Linked DNA regions of Oreochromis niloticus. The main gene of each other region encodes a partner of the protein of the gene in region 3 in a complex. Links are inferred from orthologs where the notes say so. Each region holds a gene or a part of one and is shown on either strand. Other genes may lie near its edges.

What was found.
Region 1: pigq (region 3) and pigh share a complex: the UniProt entries of both Homo sapiens proteins name them as parts of the glycosylphosphatidylinositol-N-acetylglucosaminyltransferase (GPI-GnT) complex. The link is inferred for Oreochromis niloticus from reciprocal best matches to the Homo sapiens genes PIGQ and PIGH.
Region 2: pigq (region 3) and piga share a complex: the UniProt entries of both Homo sapiens proteins name them as parts of the glycosylphosphatidylinositol-N-acetylglucosaminyltransferase (GPI-GnT) complex. The link is inferred for Oreochromis niloticus from reciprocal best matches to the Homo sapiens genes PIGQ and PIGA.
Region 4: pigq (region 3) and pigc share a complex: the UniProt entries of both Homo sapiens proteins name them as parts of the glycosylphosphatidylinositol-N-acetylglucosaminyltransferase (GPI-GnT) complex. The link is inferred for Oreochromis niloticus from reciprocal best matches to the Homo sapiens genes PIGQ and PIGC.

The regions. Positions count from the first base shown.
Region 1 is NC_031980.2:5,869,772-5,877,676, forward strand, and holds the start of pigh (phosphatidylinositol N-acetylglucosaminyltransferase subunit H), read right to left. Parts: upstream 3,147-7,905; 5' UTR 2,831-3,146; coding exon 2,654-2,830; intron 1,203-2,653; coding exon 993-1,202; intron 891-992; coding exon 807-890; intron 692-806; coding exon 617-691; 3' UTR 1-616. Other genes in the region: zfyve1 (zinc finger FYVE domain-containing protein 1), read left to right, coding at 3,739-3,748, 4,343-4,848, 4,937-5,180, 5,275-5,535, 5,639-5,853, 5,947-6,053, 6,187-6,295, 6,377-6,474 and 4 more. UniProt on the Homo sapiens protein: Part of the glycosylphosphatidylinositol-N-acetylglucosaminyltransferase (GPI-GnT) complex that catalyzes the transfer of N-acetylglucosamine from UDP-N-acetylglucosamine to phosphatidylinositol and participates in the first step of GPI biosynthesis.
Region 2 is NC_031987.2:20,520,225-20,528,019, forward strand, and holds the start of piga (phosphatidylinositol N-acetylglucosaminyltransferase subunit A), read left to right. Parts: upstream 1-4,664; 5' UTR 4,665-4,762; intron 4,763-7,795. Other genes in the region: uncharacterized protein LOC102076210, read left to right, coding at 1,383-1,514. UniProt on the Homo sapiens protein: Catalytic subunit of the glycosylphosphatidylinositol-N-acetylglucosaminyltransferase (GPI-GnT) complex that catalyzes the transfer of N-acetylglucosamine from UDP-N-acetylglucosamine to phosphatidylinositol and participates in the first step of GPI biosynthesis.
Region 3 is NC_031969.2:32,539,711-32,547,259, reverse strand, and holds the start of pigq (phosphatidylinositol N-acetylglucosaminyltransferase subunit Q), read right to left. Parts: upstream 3,444-7,549; 5' UTR 3,364-3,443; intron 2,615-3,363; exon of another isoform or gene 2,486-2,614; intron 1,529-2,485; 5' UTR 1,491-1,528; coding exon 1,338-1,490; intron 1,148-1,337; coding exon 961-1,147; intron 588-960; coding exon 424-587; intron 292-423; coding exon 95-291; intron 1-94. Other genes in the region: protein-lysine N-methyltransferase EEF2KMT, read left to right, coding at 4,375-4,482, 4,857-4,919, 4,999-5,079, 5,202-5,303, 5,478-5,611, 5,689-5,933, 6,056-6,205, 6,762-6,862; alg1 (chitobiosyldiphosphodolichol beta-mannosyltransferase), read right to left, coding at 7,312-7,446. UniProt on the Homo sapiens protein: Part of the glycosylphosphatidylinositol-N-acetylglucosaminyltransferase (GPI-GnT) complex that catalyzes the transfer of N-acetylglucosamine from UDP-N-acetylglucosamine to phosphatidylinositol and participates in the first step of GPI biosynthesis.
Region 4 is NC_031986.2:38,718,599-38,726,282, reverse strand, and holds pigc (phosphatidylinositol N-acetylglucosaminyltransferase subunit C), read right to left. Parts: upstream 3,160-7,684; 5' UTR 3,005-3,159; intron 2,360-3,004; 5' UTR 2,356-2,359; coding exon 2,128-2,355; intron 2,033-2,127; coding exon 1,376-2,032; 3' UTR 130-1,375; downstream 1-129. UniProt on the Homo sapiens protein: Part of the glycosylphosphatidylinositol-N-acetylglucosaminyltransferase (GPI-GnT) complex that catalyzes the transfer of N-acetylglucosamine from UDP-N-acetylglucosamine to phosphatidylinositol and participates in the first step of GPI biosynthesis.

The DNA.
Region 1 (7,905 bases), on a different chromosome or scaffold from region 3:
CACAGAGATTACATTCAAAAGCAATTCATGGAAATTAAACAATGAGCCAACAAAGAACAGGACATGGTGTACATTTGAATCACTTGTAAAAACTGATGCATGGACCCAAATGTTTGTGAGTAGTGCTGCCCCCTACTGGTAAAACTAAACAACTAAACAGAAACTTTTAAAGATGAGCAAATACTACCAATATCTATGTAATTAATGAATATTGGTTTGTTATATTCTATGAATTTTGGGGGGGGACAAAAACAAATACACAAAAGAGTGTGCTAATGGTGCCAAAATACACAAACTTGTATAATTTGTGGAATTCTAAGCATATAAAAAAAACTATAAGGTTAAATATTATTTTTATGATCTTACATTACAAGTTACATTGCAAGTTAAAGAATTTGGCTTTTTAGGTTTAAACAAGTAGTCAAGACCAGTGTTTTATTTATTTTAAATTAATCATGTAACACAGTACAACATTATGACACCATTATCCTTTAAAGCAAAACATTAAGAAATGCAATGTATATAAAATACACCTAAGACGTATCAACACAAACAAGGAAGAGGCTAAAAGAAAAACATGGTGAATGACCTCAGGTGTTCCTGTATGACATGCGCTTCATTGGCACTTTGAAAGAATCTCCTGACAGCTTTTATAGACTTTCACCAAGCAGTTCAGCCTTGGCTTTGAACTCTAAAGGGAAAAAAATAGAGTTAATTAAAAACAGGTTCCTATGAATGACACCACATCAACAGCCCTGCAGGTAATCAAGTAACTAAACAGGCTCTTGAGATATGCTCATCCTCACCTGAAACAATGGCACAACACTTGACACTGCATCGGGCTCTGAGGGGTCCTTCAACAGTACACAGAGGTAGTAGATGATCTGATGCTGAAATAAAAGCATTAGACATTAATCAAATCTTTCATGGCAAACTGTAGAATAACTGTATGAGAAAATGTCAAGTACAGAGGCACAGGTTCAACAACGCACCATGTAAATAGCTTCATTGATGACTATATCCTTGATCTTGCTCATCTCAATGAAAGTGGTTATCTCGCGGCCCGAGGCATAGCTGGAGGACACCTGGATGCCTAAGGAGCCAATGACAAGAAGGGACTCATGGTCTACCTTCACAAAGTGGATGTGAAGCATCATGCCAACAAGGGTGACAAGAATAGCGCCGGACAGAACGGCAGTGTTCTGCAAGAGAGGAAAAGTATTACATTAAAAATAATCATTGTAAGTTAAAATAGTATACAACCATCCAAAAGTACCTAATGCTATCAACAGAATGACATTATATACAGAACATCTACATACTGAGTTGAAGAGCTAAACAAAACTTTGAGCGCACATTTGCATGATGCCAATTTGCAGCACACTAATGGTGTGGCATCCAGTCCCGATTCCAACAGGAGAGGAAGAGGAAATGCTGATAGAGAGATATCCTAGTGAATGGATCAGCAAACAATGGCCGATGCACCTGAAAAGTGACTTTTATCACCCACTCCCGGAAAGAAACCACGCTCAGTTGGAAAGAACAGAAATGATATGAAACAAAACAACAGTAAACATCCAACTATCTTTTCAACACTGGAAAAGTGGAATAAATGATTACACTGGACGCTCACGTAACAAGCACGGCTTTGAACAGAAAGAACCCAGAGCCTTAAAAAAAATGCTGTAAAATTACTGCGCTAACTTAAAAAGTGCACCATCTGGATCTTAGACCGGGCGACTAGATTGAGACTTTCTTTTAAAATACTGCCCCCTCGTGGTGGGAAGTGGTGTTTCAATTTTACAACAAGTATTTTTAAGAAAGAAAGAAAGAAAGAAAGAAAGACAGAACTTTTCTAACTGTATTATGTCTTCTTTTTGCTGCTCCGTTTAGGGATCACCATAGCAGATCATCGATCTCCATCTCACCCTGTCCTGCCTCTGTCACACCAATCCTCTTCATGTAAATCCATTAATCTTCTCTATGGTCTTCCTCATTTCCTCGTGCCTGCCAGCTCCATATTCAACATCCTTTATCCGATATATATCTACCTAGTGGTGGTGGTGGTTAATTCCACCACCCTCCATCTGGAGGGGGCCTTACTGTGTGGAGTATGAATGTTCTCTCATATCAGCGCGGGTCCTCTCCGGGTACTCAGGCTTCCTCCCACAGTCCAAAAACATGCAATTAGTTGGGTTAGATTAATTGGTGATTCTAAATTGCTCAGAGGTGTGAATATGAGAGCGAATGGTTGTCTGTCTATCTGTCTGTGGTAGCCCTACGACAGACTGCGGACCTATCCAGCACCCCCTGCGGCACTGAATTGGAAAAGTGGAAGCGAATGAATGGATTGATTGATGGATGCATCCAGGTCATGGTAGTCAAGCTTGGAAATATCACCGTGTCTCTGTAAACATCAGTCTATGGACACTCTTGCCTGACCGTCATCATCGCAAACAAGACCGCGGTCAAACAAGAAGGGGCTCAGAGCAGATCCCTGATGCAATCCCACCCCACCTTGAAGCCATCTGCGGCTCCCACCGCACACGTCACCACTGTCTCGCTGTCCTCAGAAACTTTGCATCTCAACCCCACAGTGAGAAGGATTTGACAGTAAATCTGCATCACTTTGGTCTCGCCTTCATCATCTTACCTGGGTGAAGAAGAACACTGCATACGCCAGAAGCCACACGGAGCAGGTGTATACCATCACTTTGCCCATGGACACTTTTGGGGAGCTGATAATGAACTCCCTGCAAAAGCTGGAGTGACTCTGACAGTCCAGAGAGATTGGTTTACCGCTAATGTCAGTGAAGGCTTCGTCTTCCATGATGACTGAACAACAAAAAGAGGTGAATGAGCATAAAAGACGAGTGATGACCGGTGTATGTTGTCAACACGGTTATCCTGTTAAGTTAGCACCGAGCTAGCATTAGTTGTTAACTGCGAATAGACAGAGTCAGCAGCACATTAAGACAGGCGGTGATAAATTTATAATGATGACGAAAAAAGAAAACTGCTTAAAGTACTATGCTTTAATTGAATTAAAAGGAAAAAAATAGCTAAAGAGCTGAATTAAAGAGTCAACTACAACTGTCGTGTGCCACAATCCATCCCCACTCATGTGGCTGCACTGTTTTTTACACCGGGGTGTCCAGAAAGGGTGAGGGGGCTCTCGCGCACACAAGAGCAAAAGACCGCGGAAAAACTAGTTCATAAAACAACTAAATGTACTTTAATGCATAGAACAACTTGTAAGTTTGACATTTATATTCTTCGTTTGATATCAACGAGATAAGTGTCAGCTTCAGCTTCTGTCTCCGTCTCAGCTTGTGCCTACGGCACACGCTGGTATTGAATAAAAGCAGACCCTATAGCCGCTGGAAAAAGCAAAGCATTATGGGCAACGATTGATTTTTCGTCGATATCTCCGCGTCGTTTACTCAAGCTGGTCCACAGCTTTCGTCAAACAGTCTGTAAATGTCAAATGCGGGGTATACGTTGGTGTATGTGCCATAAACAGGTTACAAACAGCTCGTCTTTAGCGAGCGCTTTTCCATGTCACTTGTAAGTCCTTCGTTTCCCAAAATGCTTTGTGTTTCCGTGACTTTTGACCTCTGGATAAAAACAAGCCGATCAGCTGATGTAAAAGCAGCAACATCTACAGGGGTCTGACACAATAACAGCTAGCTAACTTTGCCCCCCCTCCAGCGTCAGCTCTCCGTGGCATTCGGCGGTATGGTGTTAGGTAGTGTACGTGTCCACTTTTAGACTGTGTCGAGCCAGCAGGTTATTTAACGAGTCAGCCGTCGGACTGGTAGCAACTGTTAGGTCAGTCGACTCAAAAGAAGGTTGTTTGTTTCAGGAGTGTCTCTTTGTGTGAATGCTGTTAGCTAATGACTCTTTACTACTGAGTTTCAAGGCCTGTTTTTAGGCATTTTAATGTATCAAACAGTGTGGGATACTCTCATGTAGAAAGTTAGCGTTACCAGAACAAGAAAACAGATGCCGGACAGCTATTGTTAGCTACAGAGCTGTTGTGGCAAAAGGTAAACAAACTAGTCCGAGTTTTGTGTGTTTAATTTTGCTGTTTCAATAAACTGAATATCCCCATTAAAAAGTAAGGAGAGAGAAAAGGGGCATAGGTTGCTATCGTTTTGTTGACAGTACTGCTCATGAGTGAATTTGTTTTTTGTTTTTTTTCAGTATTTCAACAAAACAGGTTATCTGACATCTGGTTATATAGATTCACAAAACGGTTCCATAACCTTGCGCCCTCTTCTGCAGTGCTTTTGCCGTCCCAATTACCCACAGTAATCCTTCATACTTGTTTTCACACCAGGGGTTTCCTGTCCTCACAGGTTTGAGATGAGTGGTCAAGGTCCAGCTGTAAACAAAGGAATGAACACCATCCTGGTCTGTCAGGAGAGCTATGCCTGTGGGGGCTCGGACGAGGCTGTGTTTGAATGCGATGAGTGTGGCAGCTTGCAGTGTGCTCGCTGTGAACTGGAGCTACATCGGCAGGAGCGCATGAGGAATCACGACCGGGTTCGGGTCGCCCCGGGCCACGTTCCTTTCTGTGACTCCTGCAAAGGGGATGGCAGCTGCTCTGGCAGACTCAGAGCGGTGGTCCGCTGCCAGGGCTGTAAGATCAACCTGTGTTTGGATTGCCAAAAACGCACCCATGGGGGAGTCAACAAGAGAAAGCACCCTCTGGTACCTTACCCACCTGCCAAAGCTCCTCAAGAGAACAGTGTCAGTGCTGGGGAGAGTGACATGGAAATCCTCAAATCCAAACTGGAGAAGGTGTGCAGCTTTCTGCTAGTGGATGAGAAGGAGGAAATGCAGGTAAGCACTTGTTGAGGTACCCAGCGTTTGATGGTGTTTTATTAATGATGCGTTACAACGATTGAGCTGATCTTATCTGCATTCTCAGGTGAAGGATGAGAAGGACTTTGTCAGCAGACTGGGTTGTAGTTCAGATGAGCTCCTCAAGGTGGTCTCCATTTTTGGGAACACTGGTGAGGGAAAATCCTACACCCTGAACCATACGTTCTTTCTTGGGAGAGAAGTGTTCAAGACGTCTCCCACTCAGGAGTCCTGCACTGTGGGTGTTTGGGCAGCTATGGACCCTCTGCATCGGGTTGTAGTCATCGATACAGAGGGACTGCTTGGAGCTGGTATGAAATTATTGATTTATTTAATATTATGAAACAAATGGGGGTAGAAGCAGGCACCCATTCATGATTCTTTTTTTCTTTTTTTTTTGATCAGGGGCTAATCAGGGTCAGAGAACTCGGCTGCTGCTCAAGGTCCTGGCTATCTCTGATGTGGTAATCTACCGGACACATGCTGACCGTCTCCATGACGATCTCTTCAAGTTCCTTGGTGATGCATCAGATGCCTACCTGAAACATTTCACTAGAGAATTAAAGGCAACTACCACTCGCTGTGGTCTTGATGTACCGTTGTCCACCCTGGGCCCCGCGGTGATCATCTTCCACGAGACTGTCCACACCAAGCTTCTAGGATCAGGTACATCAAAGAAGTCTGTCTCATCTCAGTGTTTTTCAAAGATAAGCACACAAACCACCGCCTCATTCCTTTGTCTCCATCTGTATGTGTACTCCAAATTTAGACACGCCCTCAGAATCTGCTGAGCGCCTTCTCCAGGAGCGTTTCAGGAAGCTGGGCTTATTTCCGGAAGCATTCAGCTCCATCCAGTACCGTGGGACTCGAACCTACAACCCTCCCACGGACTTCAGTGGTTTGCTCCGCAGCCTGGAGCAGCAGCTGGACAACAATACGACACGCTCACCACGATCTGCCAGTGTCATCTTCAAGGCCCTGCAGGTAGCTGTGCTTACATTTAACAAAGTATGTTTTGGCATAGCGAGTGCAAATGTGTTTATACCTTTCCCATCTCCACCTGGGGCCTTCTTTCAGGCCCTGAGTGAGCGCTTCAGTGGGGAGATTCCAGATGAACATATGAACAGTAACTCCTTCTTTCCAGATGAATACTTTACCTGTTCCAGCATCTGCCTCAGTTGTGGGTAAGTGTCCCTGCTTTGCTAAAAAAAATATCAAAAATACTTTAAGTCAGATTTCTACAGCATCATCACTGCCAGTACCTTTTACTTTTACTTATTTGTAAAACTTGCTGACTTGCTGGGCACCAACTTTCAGGTCAGGCTGTAAGAGGAGCATGAATCACCTAAAGGAAGGTCTTGACCATGAAGCCAAACATCGCTGCCGGTACTCTGCACAGTACGACAACCGCATCTACACATGCAAGGCAAGTACAAACATACATCTACGCCACGTTTGAAGTATACCTGCTTGACAAGGTTTTGAGCAACTGTGCTGAACTTCTCAGGCCTGCTACGAAAGGGGAAAGGAAGTCATAGTGGTTCCCAAAACGACGGCCTCGTCTGACTCACCGTGGTTTGGCTTGGCCATCTACGCTTGGTCAGGGTGAGTCCTGCGAGTATAGAATGATTTTTCATAAATATCCTCATACGTGCCTTTAAAGTTTTAAGAACAATTGAGCACAGTTGATATAAAAAGTGTATGGCACCTCTGGAATCTTTCCTCCCTGTGCTGAAACTGAGATGGTTTTGTCTTTTTACAGGTATGTCATTGAGTGTCCCAACTGTTCAGTGATCTACAGAAGCAGGCAGTACTGGTATGGAAACCAGGACCCAGTGGAAACAGTGGTCAGAACAGAAATCCAGCACATCTGGCCTGGGGTAAGGCCACGCTGAATTCACTTATACCATTGGAATCTAAAAGCTCACTTTTTGTTTGCTTTGAGTCATATGAATTTGGCCACTATGAGGCGAGTGGCTTATACTGTATGTAGATATCCAGAAAAGTAACGCAGCATGTTCTCCTGGAACATGTTGATCTAAGCATAATTAGTCACAAGTCTGAATATAGCAGTGCAAACGCCAGCTGGTAAGGCAGGCATTGTATTTCTGTCAGCACTGTTGTCAGTATTTAGTGATAATTGTGAGGGACGCTTGTATAAACACAACTTCTATGGCGTACTGTAATTATGTGTTTTTACACTGTTCTATGCAGTCAGATGGCTTTTTGAAAGACAACAACAACGCTGCTCAGAGGTTGTTGGACGGAGTCAAATACATTTCTCAGTCTGTGTCTGAACTCAGCGTCAAGCCTGCCAAAGCGGTCACTTCCTGGCTTACTGACCAGATTGCTCCTGCCTACTGGAAACCCAATTCCCTCATCCTGGTATGCAACCAATATTTAGCTAACTATATATAAGGAATCACAGGCCCAGAATGTGTAGTTGTAAATGAAACATCACTTGTGTAAGTAAAACATTTTCTTGGTGATAGCCCATCAAGACAATGTAGGTTGACATTTGACATGCTGCAGTGTTCCTGTTATGTTACTGTTATGCTGATAAATCGCATTACTTATTATTGTGCCGTAGAAATGTCATAAATGTGGGGAGGAGTTCCAGCCCAACGACACCAAGCACCACTGCCGTGCCTGTGGAGAGGGCTTCTGTGACGCCTGCTCCTCCAAAACCCGGCCGGTCCCTGAGAGGGGCTGGGGTCTTGCGCCTGTTAGGGTCTGCGACGCGTGTTTCCACAACAGAGGAATTCCAACTGGTACACAAATGAGTCTCTCTGTGGGAATTTAAGAGTGGGGTATTGTTTGCCGGGCTGGTTCAGATGGTTTTAGTGTTCACAACATGATATGATTTGATGTGTGCATGTTGTAGAGTTGCTGGACGCTGCGTTGGAGGAGGAGGGAGGCACTCTGATAGCGAGGAAGGTTGGAGAGGCTGTTCAGAACACTTTGGGGGCTGTAGTTGGTGCCATCGATATACCTCTTGGTAAGCATAGGATCTAAAAATAATGTCGTGAGCAAGAG
Region 2 (7,795 bases), on a different chromosome or scaffold from region 3:
CACTTTAGCCAGCTCCTAATTTTATAAATTCTTCACTTAGCTTTGCAGTCTCTAATATCATTGAAATGCAGTAAGAGGCCGCTCTTTTTACGTTGTCACCCGTTCCTTCACTTTCCCCCAACACGCTTGCATTTAAATCTGGTGCCCTGTCTCTCTGTGTACCTTGCTGTCTTCGGAACATCTGCCCCCTTTTCCTTTTTTCATATAGTGGTATAAGCCCAGTCTTTCATTGCATGTGACTGGCCACAATGATGTGCCCATCAAAATAAAACCCGCTTCTTTTGATGTCTTTCTTTTAGGGATGCAGCTATCAATTATTATTTTCTTATTTTTGTCTTGTCTTATTAATAGTCAAAAGACAAAAAAATGCAGGACTTTCAAAACGAACTGCTCATTGGTTTCTATTTTGGAAATTGCTAATTTCTTTTTGTTGTATCTGTCAAAAAAGGAAAAAGAAAACAAAGCCCTTTGTATTTATCTGCCATGTTAAAATTTTTATTTAAAAAAACCCATTTTCTTAAATTTAAAAATATATAAATACACTCAAGTACAGCCAAAGGTCAAAGTCAAATAACATAAGATATATGCACTGTAAACTAAGGCACAAACATAATGTACCTTTACCTTGTCTTTCTCAAGGCTTCATATGTTTTTGTACATTAGTTTTAAAATGTAGAAACACATGTGTGAATGTGAATGAGTGACTTTGTGTCTGTAAGCCTTTAAAGGAGAATCTGGTGGCTATAATGAAGAGAAACAACCATATCAGCATTCTGATGTTTGCCCTGTTCTTTGATGCAAAGCTTTTGTGATGCATGAGAAATATTTCGATCTGAAAATCACTCACAGCAGAACTGTAAAGCCCACAAGTTGTTTCTCAGTTTCTCTGTGATTATTGAACTTTTGTGAAGCAGCAAGTTCTGTGTTTTCCTATTTTGTCAAGTTTATTTTTAATAATTTAATGCAATTTAATACTGAACTTATGATTGGTCATCTTTTCTGTTGCAGGTAAAGGCATTCCTGTCACTGTCAAAGGCTTTGAGAAAGGCGATGTGCTCCTGCCATGTGATTGCTCTAATAGAGATTTGAATAAGGTATTCAAGTGGCAAGTGGAAGAAGATGAGAAGAGAGGGGTGGAGACAAAATTGATCTTCAGCTATTATAATGGGACCTTATATTTTAAAGGAAACCCGTCCCACCGATATGAAACATTTTTTCATAACGACAGCAGTAATTGTTCTGTTCTATTAAAAAACATCACAAAAGAAGACCAGGGAAAATACAGTTGTCGTTTTTATTCTCCACAATACAGATTTTTTTTTGTGAATCTTGTGGTTTTGGGTAAGTCATCCATCGTGGATACCAACAATCTTTTAATACTCATGAAATTTCATTATTTTAACAAAAATCATCTCTCACCAGGGTCACATATTTTTCAGCACAGGGAGACTCTTCCAAATGGTGGAAACATTTACCAATGTGTTGTAAAGCTTGACAGCTACAAAGAGCCTAACATTCACTGGACATTCACACCACCTCCAACATATTTATCCAGTTTAGTTCTAATATTATACACCGTGAGGAGTCACTGGGAGGAGAAAGTCTGTGTACTTTGGTCTGAAAGTGACTCTAACAGCAGTTGTGCTTCAAACTAAGAATCTGAATGGAAAAATGTCGGATTTATTTAACTTTAGTGAAGCAGCAAGTTTTATGTTTCCCTAGTTCGTGACATTTACTTTAGACAAGTAACATTTAATTAAACAAATAAATCTACATTATGAGTTGAATAAAATGTATATTTTGATAGACTCTGATACCTGGACCTATAATTGGTCATCTTGTCTGTCGCAGGTGAAGGCATCACTGTTAAAGGCTTTGAGAAAGACGATGTGCTCCTGCCATGCAATTGCCCTAACAGAAATTTCAATAAGGAGTTCAAGTGGCAAGTGGAAGAAGATAGGAAGAGAGGGGTGGAACCAAAATTGATCTTCAGATATAATGATGGGACCTTAGATTTTAAAGACAACCCGTCCCACCGATATGAAACATTTTTTCATAACGACAGCAGTAATTGTTCTGTTCTCTTAAAAAACATCACAAAAGAAGACCAGGGAAAATACAGTTGTCGTTTTTATTCTCCACAATACACAGTTTTCTTTGTGAATCTCACGCTTTGTGGTAAGTTGTACATTGTGATTACCAGCAATTTTTGAATACTCATGAAATTTCATAATTTTAACAAAAATCATCTCTCACCAGGGACACATATTGTTCAGCACAGGGAGACTCACCCAAATGGTGGAGATGTTTACCAATGTGTTGTAAAGCTTGACTGCTACAAAGAACCTAACATTCAGTGGACTTTGGATGGAACGTGTCTGTCAAATTCAGCCACGACTAACATCTCCCCCACATACAACCTGGATGAAGAAACTGGCGTCCACTATTTTCACAGTAGACTCGAGACTGAAAGCAACTTCACCTCAGAGCCTAAATGTGAAGTCAATGTCACATGCCCATCTGGTAATTATTCATTTTAAATTGTTATTTCAGCAAAGATTGATCTTAGGGGTTGCCTGGTACTTCTACCACAATAAAAGTGCTGTGACATTAAATGCAAAGACGGTAATATTCATGATACATGTAACTGTGGAACATTTCATAATATCAATTATTGTATTTTTTTTCTTTTTCCAGGAAATGATCCATATTCATTAACCAGCCTGGACCCCCTTTTCAGGATATTATTTAAAGGGGTCCCTGTTGTTTTGGCGCTTGGATTTTTGCTGATTTGGTACCGTCGTGGAACGTCTCACAGTGAGTTTTGTTATGCTACATTTACTGCATTACTGGTTAAACCAGAGTGACTCTGTTGCTCTTTCTGCAGCTTTTTATCAGCCACTAACAGTTTTGATAGTGTTTGTTGATATTTGGCTTTGTTACAGTGTCTCTCCAATAATTTAATCTTTCATTTTCTCATTGCTAAGGGTTTCCCGGTGAGGGAAATGTGTAAAATGGTGACTTCTCAGACAAACACAAACTCAGACGAGCCTCAAAGTGAGGATATGAAAGTACTTTATTCTGAGCCAAAGGAGGTGATTAATCACTGCTGATGCAATACTGGCTGTTTGCAAAATCTAGTTTTCATCTTTTGTTCCTGCTCATGGAAACTACATCTACTTTGGAAGCTAAAGGAGGAGACTATTCTCTGTATGCCATTCATCAGATTTCCTTGGGAAGAGTAAAGTCTGAGCTATATATACCAGATGCCAGGCTTTGTTTTTTGTTTTTATTTTTTTTTTAACTTTTATAAATAAGTAGGTTTAGGGTAATGCGTATAATGTATAGTTAATAGGAAAAAACACTCAGGAGCCAAGTAAGAAATTTTTAAATGATGTTGCTTAACTGTGAAACATCACTGTACTACATAGCCGTGCAGCTCTGGTCCCTTTTTGGGAATTAGGTCATCAGCCTTGAATCTGTGACTGCAGTCTGGACAGTACGTCAAAATTTGACAAATGGAGAAGTGTAATGAAATGTAAATGTGTGGCCCTTTTTCAGCACCAAAAAGAAAAGTATATTTTTAAAAAAGAGTAAAACAAACATTTTGTTCAGCAATAAAGTTTTTTTTTTTAAACTGCATGATGGGTAACTTTTATTTCCTTTTCAGATATTTCATTTCTCTTTAATGAACCATGAACACAAGCACACCACATGCTTCAAGAAGAACACAGATCCTGTTTTTGTGTTGTTGTTGTTTTTTTTTGGTCAAGTGTAGCACACTTTCAGAGTACTCCATCGCATAAAAGTCCTGCATGCAAAACTGCAGTATCAACAAAAAATGTTTTTGTTGTGACAAAGTAACAACATGCAGTAGATGTCTGCTGTAACTAATGTGACATGTGACACACAGTCACATCAGGACATAATTTAAAAATGAAGTAAATAAAACCTCAGATATTACATCGTGTCATTTTTTTGGGATTAAAAAATAAGCCAAATACAAAAGCATGTGTATTAAATCAAGTACACAGTATGATTCAAAAGATCGTATAGCCAGTTTTACTATTGTGGCTTTATCAGTCTTTCACATCACTGTAGAGAAATATTTGACCGTCTGTTTCCATTCATTCATGTGTGACTCTTTTTGAGGTTCTGCCACAGCCAGTGAGTCGAGATGAGGGCTGAACTTTCGACTGAGCCATTACAACATATTTATTCTTTTCTTTTTAAGCCACTCATTACTAGATTTGCTCTTGTGTTTGGTATCATTGTTGTGTTGCATGATTTTGTGTCCACCAACCTTTATCTATCAGACAGATGGCCTCACATTTGACTCTAGAATCATTTTGTATACAGAGGAGTTCACGGTTGAATCACTGCAAGATACCCAGGTTCTGTGGGTGCAAAGCAAGCCAAAATAATTACCCCTCCATCACGGTACTCACTATGGTCTTATCTGTACAAAGGACATCCCTCCAGAAGTCTTGTGGTTTCTTCAGGTGTGTGTCTTAGCACACCTGAATGCTCCAGACCAGCAAATTGCTCAAGCCTCTGCTCTCAATCTCTGAGGCTCAATTAGAGATAGATACCACACATCTATAAAGATCTGGCGGTACACACCGTTAAACCATATGCCAGTTACAACGTTTCAAGTGACGTAGAAAACACCAAGAAGTAACACAAGCGGCCAAGTGGCTAGCTCGAGGCTAGCATGTAGAAATGAAATCACATCTGGAAAAAGACTGACTTTCCACCCACGGTAAGGCAGTTTGGACTGTGAAAGCGGTCAGCTTGATGCTTGTTAAGGTTAAATGCGAAAGGGCGTTTGTCGCCATAATGTAAACATAACAGACTGCGGTCAAGTGAGCCCTCACTTACGAAGTCACAGTCAAGCTAGCCGCCCCGCCAGCCGCACCTAAAATGTGGTTGCACTACTCTTACGTATATTACGGTACGGATGAAGACCGGCTAAGAAACGCAGTCTTTTGTGTCCTGACACTATTTTACTTCAATATCCACTCCCAGTTTTGGTTCATCTCCACTTTTCACCCCACGATCCACAGCCAAAATTACTGTACGATTCAGCGAAAATTAACAATAACATTTACCCAATATACAGTACTGTACTTTTAATATCTTCAACTTTGACCTCAGATTACAGGAAAACTGTAAGAGGTGACGCAGATATTTCACTGGATTCTGACTGTGGGTGACCCCCACTCTTCACCCTGTCATCCACAGCCAAATTTACTGTACGGTTTTCCAGTAAATCAATAGTGAACTTTACCCAAATTACTGTACTGTTTTCTGATTAAATTAAATCCTAATCTATTACTGAAGAAAATGAGTTCATTCAAGTATTTACTTAACTACAAGAAATTTCTTTCCACACAAAATTTAAATTTTCAAAACATCATTCACACACCACCTCAAGTAGCAACTTTAGTTTTAGACATTATTTATTCAGCGCTTAATCACAACAATAGTCACCTCAAGGCACTTTACATAATAAGTTAAACCTTACAATAACACATACAGAGAAACACCCAACAATCATACGACTCCCTATGAACAAGCACTTTGGCGACAGTGGGAAGGAAAAACTCCCTTTTAACAGGAAGAAACCTCCAGCAGAACCAGGCTCAGGGAGGGGCGGGGCCATCTGCTGTGACCGGTTGGGGTGAGAAATTACATTTCTCATATTACAGATTTCTCAGATTACTATTATACAGTTTTGATATATTGTTATTCATTATCTGTCATCACACAAATCAACCCAAAAAATCAAAAAGGAAATACTTAAAATACGTGCTCAAAGCAAGAATGTTATACATATTGTGTTTTACACATGTGTTCCTCAAAACACCAATAATAACTATAAGCAGATTATTCTAGTAGCTTTCACTGCATGTGGAATTAGGTTACACAAAGCACCAGTGATGGGAATAACGGCGTTACAAGTAACGGCGTTACTAACGGCGTTACTAACGGCGTTACTTTTTTCAGTAACGAGTAATCTAACTAATTACTATTCCTATCGTTACAACGGCGTTACAGTTACTAACAAGGAAACGCGGTCCGTTACTATTTTTCAACAAACAGACGGTTGAAGCTGTGTTCAGCTTACCGCATCTTCTGGACGCTACAGCTTTAAGCAGCTGCGCGCTCCCGCGGACGGTAATCACGAGCACTGTCCAGCACAACACCTGGAGCTCAGGGGGCAAAACAATCGCATGAGTGCTGCTGTTTGACTGAGGAAGAATAAAGTAGTCGTGGTAAGCCAATCACATGACCACTTAAAGACAAAGCAACAAGGTGATATATACCAGTTTTTAAATTGTGTCGATAGGCCACGTAAAACTAGAGTCGTGATAAACAAGATATACGTGGCGTTTTTTCCTCAATAGTTTCACCACGTTAGCGCTAGCAAGCACTCTCTGCTTATGAGCAAAAAAAACAAAAAAAAAAGTTTTAGGAGTGACGGAGAGAGAGAGAGAGGGAGAGAGCAGGAAAAGAGAGAGAGCGAGTTTTGAGATGTGAGAGATTTGTGACGTTTAGCGTGTTTGTAGTGTGTAGTTAATGTGTTGTCTTGTGTAGTTAGTGTGTAGTGTTGTGGATAGTTTTGTGTTGTGTGTCAGAACAATGAGGCGACTGCTGTCTCCAGGTAGAAACAGGAGTGATACACCTGCTGCTTTCAGACCTGCAGGTATCAGGCTGTGATGTTTTCCTTTATAGTGGACAGAAATTATTTTTTTGGAGTGGCACAAATAATTTGTGTGGCATCTTATTGAATGCAGAACAGCTGATTGTTCTGTAAATAGTTTGAAATGGTTATTTAAAAAAAGTGTAAAAGGTAAATGGATGCAAATAACTTTGTTGTTTGCAGAACTTGTGCATAGGATTTTAAAATTGACAATTAATATGTTTTTTGTCTGATTTTAGATCAATTCTGGTTATACAGTATGACAAAATGAGAACATAACTGTAAATTCAGGCACGTGAGGTTGCGCTAAAAAGAATGATACCAAACAAGGCAAAGTAAATAGTTTTTAAAGGTAAAATGTGGAGGGAAAATCAAGAGTAGTAAAAAAATGGCCAATTATACTCTGGACGCCAGAGGGTTAAACGTTCTTTGTTTTTTTTAAAAGTAACGCAATAGTTACTTTTCCAAGTAATTAATTACTTTTAGAATATTGTAACTGAGTTACTAACTCAGTTACTTTTTTGAAGAAGTAACTAGTAACTATAATTGAATTACTATTTCAAAGTAACTTGCTCAACACTGCAAAGCACACACTTCCACTCTGTCTTCTGAGCGCTGCTGAGCTGTTCATTTGTCATGTCCAGGCATTCAGAATGGAACCAGCAGTTGCAGTTATCACACTGAATCTGTAAACAAATAACATATGAGTTTTCATAAACACATGAAGTAAATAATTCTATGATTTCATAAATTACAATCCTTAACAACACAGAGTCAAATACTTTGTTGTAGTCAAAGGAATTTGCAAAGAAAAGCGTCTGGACTTCTTTAAGTTGCTTGAAGACGTTTCACCTCTCATCCGAGAAGCTTCTTCAGTTCTAAGGTCAAATGGCCGAGAGTCCCAGATTTAAACCCAGTGGGAGTATCCCCCCAAAGAGGGACAAAGGACCCCCTGGTGATCCTCTAATCACATGAGCCAAGGTGTGAAAGCGGCTGTGGGACCTAATCAGCCAGGGTTTCGGGTGAGCTCATTGTGAAACCTGGCCCCACCCTATCATGTGATTTCCTGAGGTCAGATGGCCCAGGATG
Region 3 (7,549 bases):
GCCGTTTCCAGCTGGGGGAGGGCAATCTACGATAAATCAATCAGCTGATTGATCAGTATATAAAATCTCTCAGCTGTAGCTTCCTTCCTCTTACCGGATGTTACAGATCCACGTCCACAAGGCGAGCAGCCAGCTGATGAGCATGCACAGCGGCACTGAGGCCTGTTTAAGCAGCTCCACGATGATGCTGGCCTCCCGGCCTTCAGACTGCCAGTGAGTCGACTTCAGCGGCCCGTCGTCATAGCGATCCAGGAAGAACAGAGGCTGGCTGCGTGCCACCGTCTGGAACACCTGCAACAGGAAGAGCAGCAGCATGTGAGAGATCACCAGCTGCCCACATCAGGGATTGGACGCATGTTGGTGGAGCTGATTTGAGAGCTTTGCACCAACATGGACACATCACAGCTTTTTTCTCCTCTCTACCTGTTTCAGCTCAGACGACGGCTCGGTGTTGGGGTCAGGATCTCCGCTCTCAGTGGGGTGGAGCTGCGACAGCATCACCTTCCTCTGCTCATAGTGGACAAAGATCACCTTCTCCTCCTCCTCCTCATTTTGCTTTTTTGCTTCCTGCTGAGTTTCTTGCCCATCTGAAAGTTATTAAAATCAGAGCACAGGAAATGCAACTTTCAAATTAAATAAAGGACATTTTATTTAAAAAAAAAAAAAAAAAAAATTAAAAACAGAGACAAACTCTTAGATAAATAAATGAGATAAATAAATAAATGAAAGACAGCTGTGAAAAAGGAGAACTATCATTTCAGGCTTAAAAGAATGGGAGGAGCTAAAGCCGCTTAGTTCAGACAGGATGAATTGCTAAGCTGTACCGATGCCCTGTTTAAGATAAATGAGGATTATTTTGAGCTGAGAATCATGCAAAGCTACTCTAGCACAGTCCAAAATAAAAAAAATGTGGAAAAGAAAAATCCAAGGAGGAAGCAGATTCCAGTCTGAGGATCTTACTTTGGTTCCGGTTGACGACCTCACAGATGAAGCCCATCTTTCCCATTTGGCGACTGACTTGGAGCCAGCGCTGCTGGGGGAAGATGGTGCTGAGGTCCCTGAGGAAGCTCTCCATGCTCTCCTGACCCTCTTTAGGTAAACTCCAGGAGCCGAGTACCGTCAGCTCCACCCCGCTCTGGGCCTGCATCTTAGAGACGAACACAGAGGAAGGATGAGGGACTGAAGTCTGGCTCACGTTGCTGAATGGATTAATCTGATCATCTGCAATCCAACTAAAAGTTTTCCTCTGCATTGTGTTTCATTCGAAACACAAAGGTGACACCTACTGGACAACTAGTGCCCTACAAAGACTCAGCTCCCTCTTTATAATCACCAACCTGCTGGATGTACTGTTTGACCTGCCCGGGTATGAAGGGGTAGTGAATGACCGCCAGCACCACGGCTGAGTCATGACCAGAGATCCAGCGGCCCACCAGCAGCCCGCTCTCCGCCCGGTTACAGCACTGTGGGAAGAAAATCTTCAGCACCATGACTGCACTGTGGCTCAGAGTCCAGCAGCTCTAATGATCTGAGGGAAATAAAACAAGCAGAGGTAAACTTTAACTTCAGTTACAAGTTTACAGTTACCGCCCTGACGGAGAAATCCTTCATCACAGATACGCGTGCTGATTAGTGCGTGCAGGTCCCTCATTGGTGTCCACACCTCAGTTTGAGACACTCGTCTAACACTGGAAAACTCACTGCCAGCAGCAGATATATTACAAAAGTCAAACTTGGAAATCAAAGAATTCTGAAATACAATTTATGTGAACATTTTACAACATCAAAGATGGCGGTAAAAGTAAAGCATCGAGGAAAAAGCTTTTAAAAAACATGGATTAAGCCTGGACCTGTTTTCAGTGGGACACCTTCACGGAATACTTCTCTTCATTTAGGAACAGGTCTAATCCATGTGTGCGAAACAGTCTGCATGTGTGTATATACACAAGAGAAACAGTAATCAAGCACGAAATACCTGCCGAGGAGACAAAGAGGTTGTTTTTCTTAATGAAAAATATCCCTGCTTTTCCAGTATAAGCGCTACCGCAGGAAAACCACTCAATTTTCCATTTTTTAATGAAGTTTGGCGACAGAACGGAACAGGGTTAGAGACGGCTGTCCTCGTTTTTTGCCCTTCAATCAGAAATCAGATTGGAGCACCACAGGAAGCCCCGGGGCAGGAATGCCATTGATTTCCGAGACCACGAAGCCGGTCAGCTGCAGTTTTATCTGCAGTGTTATATAGAGTAACCGCGGGAGCATAAAGAAATTACCCAACACGTCAAAGAGAAGAGTGACACCCCACACTGCTGCTTTATTGTGTCCCCAAACTGACAACCACCTCAAAGTTCTTCGCATTTTTCATTATTTTTCGTTAAAAGTGTTTTAAAATCAATGAACTGAAGCTCGAAGAAACAGCGGAAACATCAAACTGGCTAACATCACCGCGGAGACGAGACATGAGTGTTAAAAATGCACCCTTTACCTTCTTTAACACGAAAACAAGAGTTCACCTTCCCTCTGCAGCTACGTACGAGCCGCCGGAGCCATCTTAGTTGTTGACAGTCCGTGCGATAAAACGCTCCGGAGAGAAACACGCGTTAATGACTGTGCTGTGTTCCTCTTACTGCGATTAGATTTCAATTTTCGAAACAATTAAAAGTCTCACATATTTCAAAGTTTTTTTTAATTCATATTTTAAATTTATATTTTAACAACTTCCTTAAACAGTGGTCTTGCATTAATTTGAAAGGGAATTGTTAATGTTATTTTGAAAAGTCACTCTATTAGTTTACATTTCTTGTTGTTTTCTTGTTATGCTGATAATAGTTTGATCTGGATTTTCTGAATTGTAATGTCTGAATGAAGGTATTGATCCATCAGGGAAAACCTTTCAAACCAAAACATCACAGAACAATAAAATAATCAGTTAAAGTCAACATGTAGTTCTTCCTACTAATAATTCCAGTTTACGCTGAATTTATAATGTATGCTTTAAAATTACATTTTACCACGTTAACAGGCCTCAGCATTGGTCACAAGACGCTCCTCTGATTTTGAAAACAGTAATTCGTGTTTCTGCTAATCCTTTTAAAATTAATTTATACGGTTATTTCCTCTATGAAAAGCATTCTATATTCATTGTCTTCATGTATTCTTTTTTAAAATAATAATAATGTATTATAATATTATAACAACATTTATAATTTGCTTGGAAGGAAAACTTGTATAGACCCAACAGTGAGATTCAAAAAAATCCACAAATAATCAAAATCGTTAGTTTCTCTTAGATTCTTTTTTTCTGTTAAGAAAACCAAGTGAAATGATCAAACTGATGTTTAAAAATAATCAGCTCATACTCACCAGTAAATGCTCAGTGTGCTGGAGCTGCTGCTGTGAATGCACAGTTGGTCCAACTGAAGAGATTTTATCTGCGGCTGCAGTGACACAGCAAGAAAAGAGCGGGAAGATTCAAGGCCACAGCAGCAGATCTGACTGAAAGCTTCTCAGATATCAGCAGATATCACAGGTTCCTAAATGAAAATGACCTTTTATTCATCTCACCGAGCTGCTGAAGCTGGCATAAAGGAAAGATTCAATTCAATAAGAACTGCAGCTGGACTTGAACCTTGAGCCTCAGTGTTAAAATCCACTGACAGACAGAACCAGCTGAGCTCTCCAGCAGCTCTGATGGATCAGAAATTTACTCTGAGGTTACAAAACATGCATACGAACAAAACAGACAAAACCTCCTTAAAACAAAAGTATACATGATTTTAATTCAGAAAACTCTTACACAGAAGATCTTTAAAGCACAAGATTACCTGCGGGAGAAGTGGGTTGTCTGGAGGTTTGATCTCATGATACAGAGGAGAGCCACAGGAATGGCAACCTTTAATTTTGACCTTAAAAGTAGAAAAACACATTTGCTGGACTTGAATCCTGAACCTTTTAGCTAAAATATGATGAGACCATAATCAGAGCACTCCAGCATCTCTGATGGTGATGATGTCCAAAGACCCTCCAAACTAAAAGGAAAAGGAAAACACACAGAGAGCAACAGAAACTGTATAAAAAGGTTAAGAAAAGCCCCAGAAAAAACACACACTCTGGTTCAAAATGAAGGTAAGTTCCAATTAATACAAAACATTACATTTAAATAAAAAAATGTTCACTAATAAAAATATACAATAATTTAAAAGAAGTGTGTAATATGTCATGTATGTTTTACACACATGCACTTAGCTCTCTGTAGCTTTAAAAAAGGTAGACTATGCTCAAACCTACAGATAAACTTCACTACCCAGAGGCTCTAGCGAGAGACGGTCGCGCAGGATTATGGGTAAATAGGAAGTAAACAAATACACGTGTAAGATGGCGCTTTCAGAGCAGTCCTCAGTGCAGGGTTCAGTTAGAGAGGTTTTAAAGGAGTTCCAGGTGTCGTTTTTCGCTATGAGTCGGCTGCCTTCGTTTCCCTGGACTGTGAGTATGAGACTGGCCGAACTTCATTCAGAAATCTGCGCATTAGAGCACCAAAGCTGGCCACAAACCCGCTGCCTGTAAAACACGAGTAAAGCAATGAAATCAGTCAGGGGACCCCCCTGAATAATTCGGCTGAGCCTGGTTCTGCCGGAGATTTCTTCCCTTTAAAGGACATTTTTTCCTTTCCACTGTCGCCCAGTGCTTGCTCATGGGGGTCGTCTGATTGTTGGGGTTATTGTAGGGTCTGCCTTATAATATTAAGCTCCTTGAGGCGTGTGTTTTGTGATTTGGCTCTATGTGAATGACTTGAATTGAACTTAAAATGTGACTTAAACCTCTGTAATGTCCTCTGTATAACTTTTATCTGCTTACAGTTTGTAGAAAAAGACCTTCAGAGCAGCGGGTCATCAGAGCTCATTTCACAGGTGCTGAAACAGGTGAGTGTTCCTCCATCGTGCTGTAATCCTAAAACAGCTCAGCTTCGTTAGTGTAATGAACAGTCACGTGTTTTTACAGACGTGTCTTCATCCCCTGTGCCGGAAGTTTGCACCTTCAGTCAGATACAGGAGGCTGTTTCTCTCCGAGCTCATCAGACGGGTAAGGAGAGGTTAACTCTCAGATTATTAGTTGAGTTTTTTTCCCTCTGGACAGAAAGATGTTGAAATACTCGATCACAGAGTAAAACCCGGCTGTGTGCTTCCTGGTTTCTTCCTCCACAGCTGGAAGCTTCAGGCTGTGAACCTCTGGATGAGCTGTATGATGCTCTGGCTGAGGTGGTGGGCACTGAGGAGACCACGGAGTGCTACAAGAGCTACCTGCTGGTACTGCACACAGGAAAACCCTCAGCGTCACTGTCACCTTTATATCAAATTATTTGTTTTGTGCCATAAAAATATCAAGATCTAATTTTTGGTCTGAATCGCCCGGCCCTACTTTTGCCAGCTGTTGCTTGCTGGAGTCTTAATTTGAAGTGCAGCCATGTTTGTGTCCCGCAGCCTGCTGGTGGCGCTGTGAGCTTGATGGAGAACATTGCTCTGATCTCAGAGGGGACCACCGGGCTGGTGACGTGGGAGGCGGCTCTTTACCTGGCGGAGTGGGCTCTGGAGAACCAGCAGGTCTTTGCTGGCAGGTAAGCTGAAGGATCTGCAGGTTGTCGCCCTCCAGGTGGAGCCTCTGCAGCTTTTAAATTTTCTCCTCCTCCTTCAGGACGGTGCTGGAGCTGGGCAGCGGCGCGGGGTTGACGGGTATCGCCGTCTGTCGGTCGTGCAGCCCAAAGCGATTCATCTTCAGTGACTGTCACTGCAGAGTGCTGCAGAAACTCAGAGACAACGTCCAGCTGAACGGGCTGAGCGAGCAGACGACCCCAGCGGTCAGCGTGGAGAAGCTGGACTGGACGGCAACCTCAGAGGAAGAGCTGAGGGAGATTGGGGCTGACATCATCATCGCCGCAGGTCAGATTTATGGAGCGAGATGGCGTGGACACACATTCACACACCTCAGTCTGTTCCAGCTTTTATGGAGCTCTTGACACTCTGCTTTCTCAGATTCCTGTTGTTTGTTTGTCGTGGTGCAGACGTGGTGTACGACCCTGACATTGCAGGAAGTCTGGCGAAGCTGCTGTCCATTGTCATGAGGTGTTCGTCTGCTGAGGTTCTCCCTCAGGTCTTCGTCTGCTCCACGATAAGGAACCTGGAGACGTACGGCGGCTTCAAACAGCAGCTTGGTAAGACAACGCTGAGGAGGAGGAGGCTGTGCTGAAGATAGTTCAGATTAATTCAGACTTAAAGCTGATCAGAGTCTGGTTTACTTAAACCTAACGTTCTGCTGTGCCTCTTTGGCTCATGCTAACGTCACGTTATCGACCTCACGCTCGAGTCTGGCGGCGGAGTTTCATCAGCGTCACACACAAAAACGTGTTTGCTGCCTGAAATGAACAGTAAACATCACACGGGGAAAAATACTGTGGTTTGCTGTAGTAAGTAGTTCTTTAACCAGCTGTGCACAGTGTCCACAATTCATGAAAGAAAATGAAGCAAAAAGAAACTGGGACAGCTCACAGTAAACACTCAGACGTTCCAGTGTGGACAAAACGAGCCTGCAGAGAGAAATCTGGCCAGATTTGATCCTGGATACTTCCTGGTTACAGTGGGAATAAATAATAATAGTTGTTTTTGAGGCGTGCTTGGGGAACTATGAAGATGATTTTATACAGAGTGCAGGACCTTGGTTTGTATAAAGCATCTTGAATAAAGTCATTATTTGTTTGTTTGTTTTGGCAGAAACTGAAGGAGTCGGCCATGAAGTGATCCCAGGACCTGTCAACCATGTGTTTCCTTATAACAGACAGTCGGCTATAGAGCTCATCAAACTGTGCAGATGACACGGGGGGAGCATGATAAAGATTTTATTTACAAATGTACATCTCCATCGTCATGACAACTTCCTTTGTACATTCAAGTGAAGAAGGAAAAACGTCAGGAATAAAAAGAAGACCTCAGAAGACTTCGGTCTTTTCACCCGCTGATCCATTTAAATTTTAAATGTACATTTATCATAAAACACCCAAGCAAACAGTTTTGGTCCTTTGCGCTCTCACTCTGCTGTAACTGGAGCTCATATCATCCAGGCATTCACTGGATACTGGACTCAAAGGCTGGGCCTACTTTATTCCATGAAAAGTGCTCACCCGGCATACGAGGAAAAAAAGGCTTGTTTCCATGGTGATGTCTACTGCACGTGCCCAGTAGGGCTTAGAAAGCGAGACTTTCATGAATAAAAGAAATGGTTTTAAAACAGCAGCACTGTCTAGCTCTCTAAATACAGCCAAAGTTATCTCGGAGCAGTGATTAGAGGAAGGACGTTCTGGTCCCAGTTGTCATCCCAGCACTGTCCCCTGCTGGCGCGGAGGTTCCTCCTGAAGGTTCCCAGTTTGCCGTCTGAACTGGGAAAATCTGACAGGAGAGCCTGGAAACATAAACGTTCAGCATTTATGAGAAGGTTCAATTTCTGAAAGGTGGTGACTCCTAATCAGAGACTGTAAGTAAAAGATGGAAATAACTGCTGCTAT
Region 4 (7,684 bases), on a different chromosome or scaffold from region 3:
TTATTTGGTCATTAGCTGCTAACACAGAGGCTCCTAAACAGCATATAGCAGTAGTTCTGGTGTAGTTTCGAGAGCAAATTTTTGTTTTTTATATGTTGCACTTAAAGCAAGAAGCAAGAGGAGACAATGTTTCGCCATGTAGTTGTTCTTTAATCTGAGACAAAAATTAAAAAATAAACAGAGAAACTCCGGTCTGTTTCACACTGTGTGCTGAGCAAACTGGGAGGTCATCAGGATAAAGTTGTTTTCAAATGGAAATTTGACTAAATTAGGGAGGCAAACTCCCGTCATGCTGCTCTCTGTCGACCGAAAACACCTGGTCAACAGGTGTTGCTCATCGGATGTGACGTCACTGACTGGGATTTGAACGGAAGGCGACATGAAAGACCTTAATCTTTTTCATTGTAGAAAACGTCTACATTTTCTTACCTCAGTGCTGATGACACATTTCATATTTAGGGCCATATTTAAATTCACAACACAGCGACAATGTTACAACATATTGTCCCTTTGTGTGTTGTTGTCGTTTGTTTTTTTTTATTACAAACACCTTAATAGTAAAGGACAGAAAGTTTGATAACAACTGAAACATGACCCCCAAAAAAGTACCATATTTTACAAGATTCATGAAGTTATCATTATATGGGGTGTGTAGCTCCACTATGTAGTAGTTGAAGTGAACGCAACCCAGTTTAACCCTGGAAGGAGACAAATCCCTTCCAGGGCTTTTAAATCAAGAATGACACCTGGTGTAAAAATCTGCCAAATCAAACACTAGGAGCAACCTGCTGTGCTGACGACTTGTGAACAAGGGTCATGGTAACTCTAAAAACTGAGGCTATGTCTTATATTTAGCTTGTAGTGTGGAGCAGGTAAAAACAGCTTCTTGTAGTATTGTATTAAATAACACTGAAGAAATACTCTCATTACCAAAATAGACAATGAAATCCTAAAAGTCTTCTAATATTTACAAATAATTTGAGGAAAATGGAATTACAGCCCTTGTTTATATTCAGGTCAATGCCATTTCATTTTCTTTACAGAGATTTGAAAACCATTAACATCCTGTAACAAGTCATACTATTAGTTGAGACCTTTCGCACAAACTCTGAGGTAAATTACAAAACCGTAGCAGCTTAAACATTAAAAACCATCCTCATACTACCTGGAAGAGAGTAATAGTTTGACATTGCTTTCCAATCATACATGAACCAGTGATAAAAACAAAACAAAACAAAAAAAACAGTTAAAATTAGTCCTTTTACATGCACAGAGCACCAAGAAACCAGCACTATGACAGTGAATTGGTTCATATAAAATTCAGTTACACCTTTAATATCAGTTTGTTTAGGAGCTGCTTGTGCTAGGCTGCTTATTAGTGAAGGAAGCGGCTCAGGTCCTCACGAATCTCAGCCTCATCCCAGGGTCCATGAATGTTGTCCTTGTGCCTCTGCAGCCTGACAAGCAGGAAAGGACAGAGCAGTGTTACACTTGCTAAAGCCAGGGTTAAGAGCACAGCTCCACCCAGCGTCTGAGACCCGAGACCTACTATTCCTCCAATGCAAACTCCCATGCACACCCCAGTAAAATGGACAGGGGCGTTCTCCCTCAGCGTCTGCAGCAGGCAGGGCCACAGAGCAAACACCAGCAGGGCGCAGCTTAGCATGGCGAAAGTGTGCAGAGCTCCGGGTAACCTAGAGGCTAAGCACACTGAGGCAAACAGAGCTGCATTTAAAGAGAGGCTTCCAGGAGGCGATGGCTGGGCGTAAGGAAACGACACCAAATGGGCCAGCAGCATCAAAGCAGACATGGCGTACACAGTGTCTGTACTCACAGACTCTGTTAGTGTCTTAAGAACTGGCGAGAAGCCAAAGGTGAAGGAAAGGAAAATGGCTGCACTCTGTAAATCAGCCAGATGAGTGCGGGGTTCACCACATGATTCAACGCGAGATGTCAAGGCTTGATGAAGTCCATAACCCAGTAGGGCACAGATGAGGCTGGACCACAGCAACGTCTCAGGCGGCAGCAGACTCTGTGAAGAAAGCAGAGCTCTTTAATAACCCGCTCCATTTGGTAAAGACACTTTGTCCTTCAAAGATTGGGGGGGAAAAAAACCCAAAGCAGTACCTGCTCCATGTAGAGCCAGAGGGTGATAAAAATGGCCACACAAGACAGCTGCTGTCCTACAAATCCGGCTTCCTTCACTACAGCCCAGTAGCGGTACTGCCGGATGCCCTCGTTCCTGCGTAACTCCTCCAAGAACCGCTGGTCTACGTAGTTATCTGGAAAAGGCTGGCGTTCCCACAGCACCTTACGCCATGGCACAGCTGGACCTGGGGCACCATCTGGCCCCATCACCCTGATTTCAACACGCAAAACACAGACGGTGGGGAGGTTGAGACCAGTAGGGGCGTTTCATCCACTACTTAAATGATCTGTCGTACCTGCAATCTTCGTTATGTGGTTTTCATTATTTGTGGTTTCCTCGTAGTCTTTTGCACTGCTTACCCAGTAATGTCCCATTATAAACACATTATATTTCTGAATATTACACGACTGGAAAGCCCTTTGGTTAAAGTTACTACTGTTTTGTGACATGACTTGACTCAAAGTGGCTAGGGGAATTTATCATTATTTTACTAAACATATTAAGCCTTACAGTCAAGGCTTAAAGTAGCAGGCCAACCAGGGTCCTTTTCTGGGTTCATAAAAAGACTTCAAAAGCTCTAAAGCTGATATAATATTATGTTGTTTTTAGGTAGTTCACCCACAGCTCTGTTAGCCAAACAAATGTTGGATCTGAACAACATTTAAAGCGTTTTCTTTGCTGTCAAGTGAATGGATATAATCTCTGAGTCTGTCTATTATAAAACTACTGCTTCTTCCGGTTTAAAAAGGGACAATAAGCCCGCGCATCTCCGGTACGCACGAGTGTAAAAACAATAATGTGCTGAGAGTTGACTGAAATACCTACAAAAATATTTCTTAGGTGTTTTACACCTACCTGGAATGTGATTTTATTCAGCGCCGACGCTACAATCTCATCCTGACAGTATCCCGGAAGTAAAGCGATTTAGCTGCAGCGCCCCCTGTTCTTCTTCTTCTGGCGCTCTCTGAGGTAGCTACACTAGCGTGCTGCTGCCCTCTACTGTCTGCTGGTCAGGCTCTTCTTGACATTTTTACATGTCATTAATACAGTCCAAGACTATTAACATCTTATTATATATTTTGTACGATATAATATGTAATAATGATAATGATAATGATAATAATAATAATAATAATATGATAGCTCCACCTAAATGAAGAAAAAAAGAATACATATTATAATTAAGCAAGGTGTAAAGAATAAATACAGTTTATTTAACTCTGCTCTCAGGTATTTAATCAACCTCTGAAGCGAGTATTTGCTTCAGTGGTTGTCTCTGAGCTTCCATGTTTCTAGTTATTACTTGGATATTTGGATATGGACACTGAACATATTTGGGAGCGAGCTAGTAATGTGGAGACTTAGCTCATCCCACAACCGGGGATTACTCTTTCTACTTATTTCTGGGAAATAAGAACTCCTCTTCCACCTTTCCCCACATATCCTGACTCAGTTCTTTAACAAAATTGTTTATACCAGATTGGCATCATGAAAGTCTGCATACTAAATGTTTCCTTCTACTCCCACGTGTACTGGTACTAATATCATTAGAATTGCCTATTATATACAGTATGATAAATGTTCATATATGAAATCTGGGTTTCTTTCTCTTGCTCTCTTCATGAATGTGACTGCATCTTTGCAGGGAATCTTACGATCTGATACAATATTCTGTGGTTAGCATGCCACAGGCCTATGCTCTTATATTTTAGACCTGTATATATATATATAGATATATATATAGATAGATAGATAGATAGATAGATAGATATACATATATATATATATATATATATATGTATACATATGTGTGTGTGTGTGTGTGTGTGTGTGTGTGTGTGTGTGTGTGTGTGTGTGTGAATTTCATCTGCATTCACCAGTCTGAACGGGTATGCCCCTTGATTTTGATTTTTTTTATATGTCAGGATTCAAAAGTCAACTTTGGTATCTTTGAATAGCCATGCTTTGTTTGAAAAGCACATTGGCGCTGACCGTCCACTTTATGACAGTAAATCTTTTCTTTTGCAAGTTGCCTGTGCTGACCATACGTAGCCCATTCTGTGCTGAAGTTATAAGACCAAACCCACAGACCGAAGTGGCTTCAAAAAGGTAATCAGGCATTTTAAAGTTCTAGGAAAATATTCTTAGAGTGGAAATAGTTGATGTCAATTTTATTCAATTCAATTCAATTCAATTTTATTTATATAGCGCCAAATCACAACAAAAGTCGCCTCAAGGCGCTTTATATTGTACAGTAGATAGCACAATAATGACAATTATTGTGCTATCTACTGAAAAGACTATCTAATGAAAAGACAAACAATTTTAAAATTGTTTGTCTTGTTGATTGTGATATTAATCAATACGCTCGTCTGTATCGTGATAATAACAGCTTCTCAAAGTGTAGACCACAGCCTCATGTCTCCCTGACAACAGCTCAGGCAGCCAGCAGTCATGTCAGCTCCAGCTCGGGGTCAAGGAGCCACAAACGCCGACCAACACGGTAAATTCTGCCAACACAAAGAAACCTTGGAAAAGAACACCTAATTCCCAACAAGGTTTCTACATTCTCTACTCTTCCACTTTCCAATAAATTCATGTCATCTTTTTCTAATGACTGTAGCTGTTCTTGTATTATTACTTTATGATTTAATCTTTGCCACATCTGTTCTATATTTGACTTTACAGAGGAAATCATTTCATAATGGTGTTCCCAGGAGTACAGGGTCTTGCATACAGGGTGTGATAGGCCCGTAAGTATCATGAAACATGATATTTTGTGTGTTGACTAAAGCAAGTAAGTTGCATTAACATTTCCATTCTGCTTCTTCCCACCATGTTGCATCCACTGTACTTTGGAAGGGCCTGTGTTACTACGCTACAAAAATGTCTGATCATCACATCTCTGCACCACCGCACCACGAAGGACATGTCAGAAAAGCAAGCAGCTTCACGACAGGGTAAATTATGCTTACAGATACCCTAGGTATTTTACAGGCATCTTTATAACTGGTTTATACACCCCACTCATATACAGTAAAACCAGGTTTGTTACTGTATGCAGAAACATATGGAAATGATTGTAAAAGAAGGTCTATTCATAAAGCTGTTTCCAAAAAAAGGTTTGGATGCTTTGGAAAAAGATGATATTTACAACATATCAAATGCTCCAAGTGAGACTGTTGAAACTGTTGTAAATTTGTATTTTTCTTTTTTTGGTGACTGGTCTGGACTGCTGGTTGCCATGTAGCTACTATAATACAGCCAGAACATGGTTTGCATTGTCTTACTGACCCAAGGAAGCATTCTCTGAAACAGACATCATCTAGATGGCAGCATTTGTTGTATACCAAAATCTGTTTAGCAGATGCACAAGTTGGCCTTGCTGTATGCATGACCGCCCCTATATACTGTCACAGATGCTGGTATTTTTAACAGTACAGTGAGATCAAGCCAGATGGTATTTTTTAGCCTGGAGAATACACCATCCAAGAAAAAGATCAAATAAAATTTTGAATGATTTGACAACAGCTCAGTTATCATTTAGCCAGGAAGTCTTGCGTTTTTAAATCCCTTTTGCTGAAATGTCCTGGGCCAAGAGAGGCAGCACACCTTGCATGGTTGCATGCTGTAGTTTGCAAAGTATTCCTAAGCCTATTGAAACACTCAACACTTCTCTAGGGGATGCTCTTTTTTTTCTTTTTTTTTTTTCCCAAATACCCATCCCTATTACTAATAAACCTAATTAGCTGTGGGAACATTTCACCTGATGTTGCCCTTGTCTCACCTTTTTTGAAAGATGTTACTGTCATTAGCATATGTTAACCAAAAAAATTAAAAATTCTCACTTTGAGCATCGAATATGATGGCTTTGCATCGATTACAAAGATAATTTCTGTTTTTAATCCACATTTGAATCACAGTATCACTCTTTGGGATGAAATATCACACAACAGAATGCAGAGGTCAGAAAAAAGGTAAAGCTGTTTAATTTGCAGACATTTACAACTGCAGGACATTAGCTAAATAAATATGATGCCACTTTCCCTCTTCTGCCACTGCTGCTTTATGGAAGAAAACATTTCTCAAAGACAATGAAGCTGTAGACACAAACTTTTATTACTCGGTAACATAGAAATGCTTAAAAAATGTTGTTCTTTTGTTTCTGTAGAATTCTGAAAGCATGTTAAAAATTGATCAAAAAATATTTTTATTACCAATACGTCACTTATTAGAATCCAGACATACAGTACGTAAATACCAGTGACAGCAACCATACATGAGAATAGGGAAAAGCACTGAAACTGAGGCAGATGATGACCATTTCTCACAACCAGACATCCAATATTATTATAGGCATCCAAAGAATTTGTGTTTGACATATGCACATACCGTGTGGCAAAATGTCATAACTGTAAACCAATTGGTCTACTCAGTTTGGTTTTATTCACTTCTAACAAAAGATAGTGTAAATCACAAAGGCATAAACTCACTGTATGATCTTCACCTTACAGCACTTGGCAAAAATCAGAAGACTGCAACATGAAGCATCGAGCCAAGGCAGTGAGCAGCCAGGGTTCCACATTAGAGATGAATAAACATCAATACAAACTACAACCGCAGTAGCAGATTAATACAATACAAGTAACAGGTAACAAACTGGTGTTATTCCACCCGTGTAGACTGTGGACCCATTTGTGTTTGCCAAAATGTGGTTCATCTGAGACAGTGCAAGGACCTGGAAAAGTATGTTGAAGAAAAAAAAAAAAGAAAAAAAAAAAAACACAAGGTAGAGGATGGCTTGTGCATATTAAACCAACCAGTGCATTGAAGTAGTGGCAATGACCTTCCAGATGTCACTCAGATAGAAATAGACTTCTGTCACAGGAGAGACGGGCAGGCTCAACATCTTCACACAGTAGGTGGCTGTAAGCAGACACCCAGCAGCAGCAGACAGGCTTCACAGCGGCAGCGCTGGCTGGCTGGCAGCCATTCAAGCCACAAGTCCACAAATCACGGCAGAGAAGAGTAGGGCAGTAGTTATAAAGAGATTTGGAGATGCCCGTTTCCTTCTCTTGCAGTCTTTTGGGTGCCAAAGAGCAGCACTGCAGTGCAGCCCTGTATTTTCAGTATTGGCATGAAGGGGAACATGTGGCTGAATTGTAACAACAAATGTTTGTGGCAATAAGAAGAGTATTCAAAGGCCTCACCAATAGGCAAAAGGCTGGGAGCGAAATCCAAATGAATAAGGCATCTTATTTTAAGGTGAAGACACAGTAACAGATTGGCAGCACCTCTCACTCCTATCTGACAGAAATAACAGGCCCCAGACCATTCCTTCATCTAGTTTAGCTTAACCCATGTTGAAATAAAATTTTTATAAAAAAAAGGAGAAAAAAAGAAGACATTTTTGCATTTGGCCTGGCTCCATTAGAAAACTAGTAGCACTGTAAATGTGCTTCTTTCACTGATGAACTACAGCAGTTGGGGGGAACTATCAAACAAGATGCATGTTTTTTCAAGAAAGACAGAGCT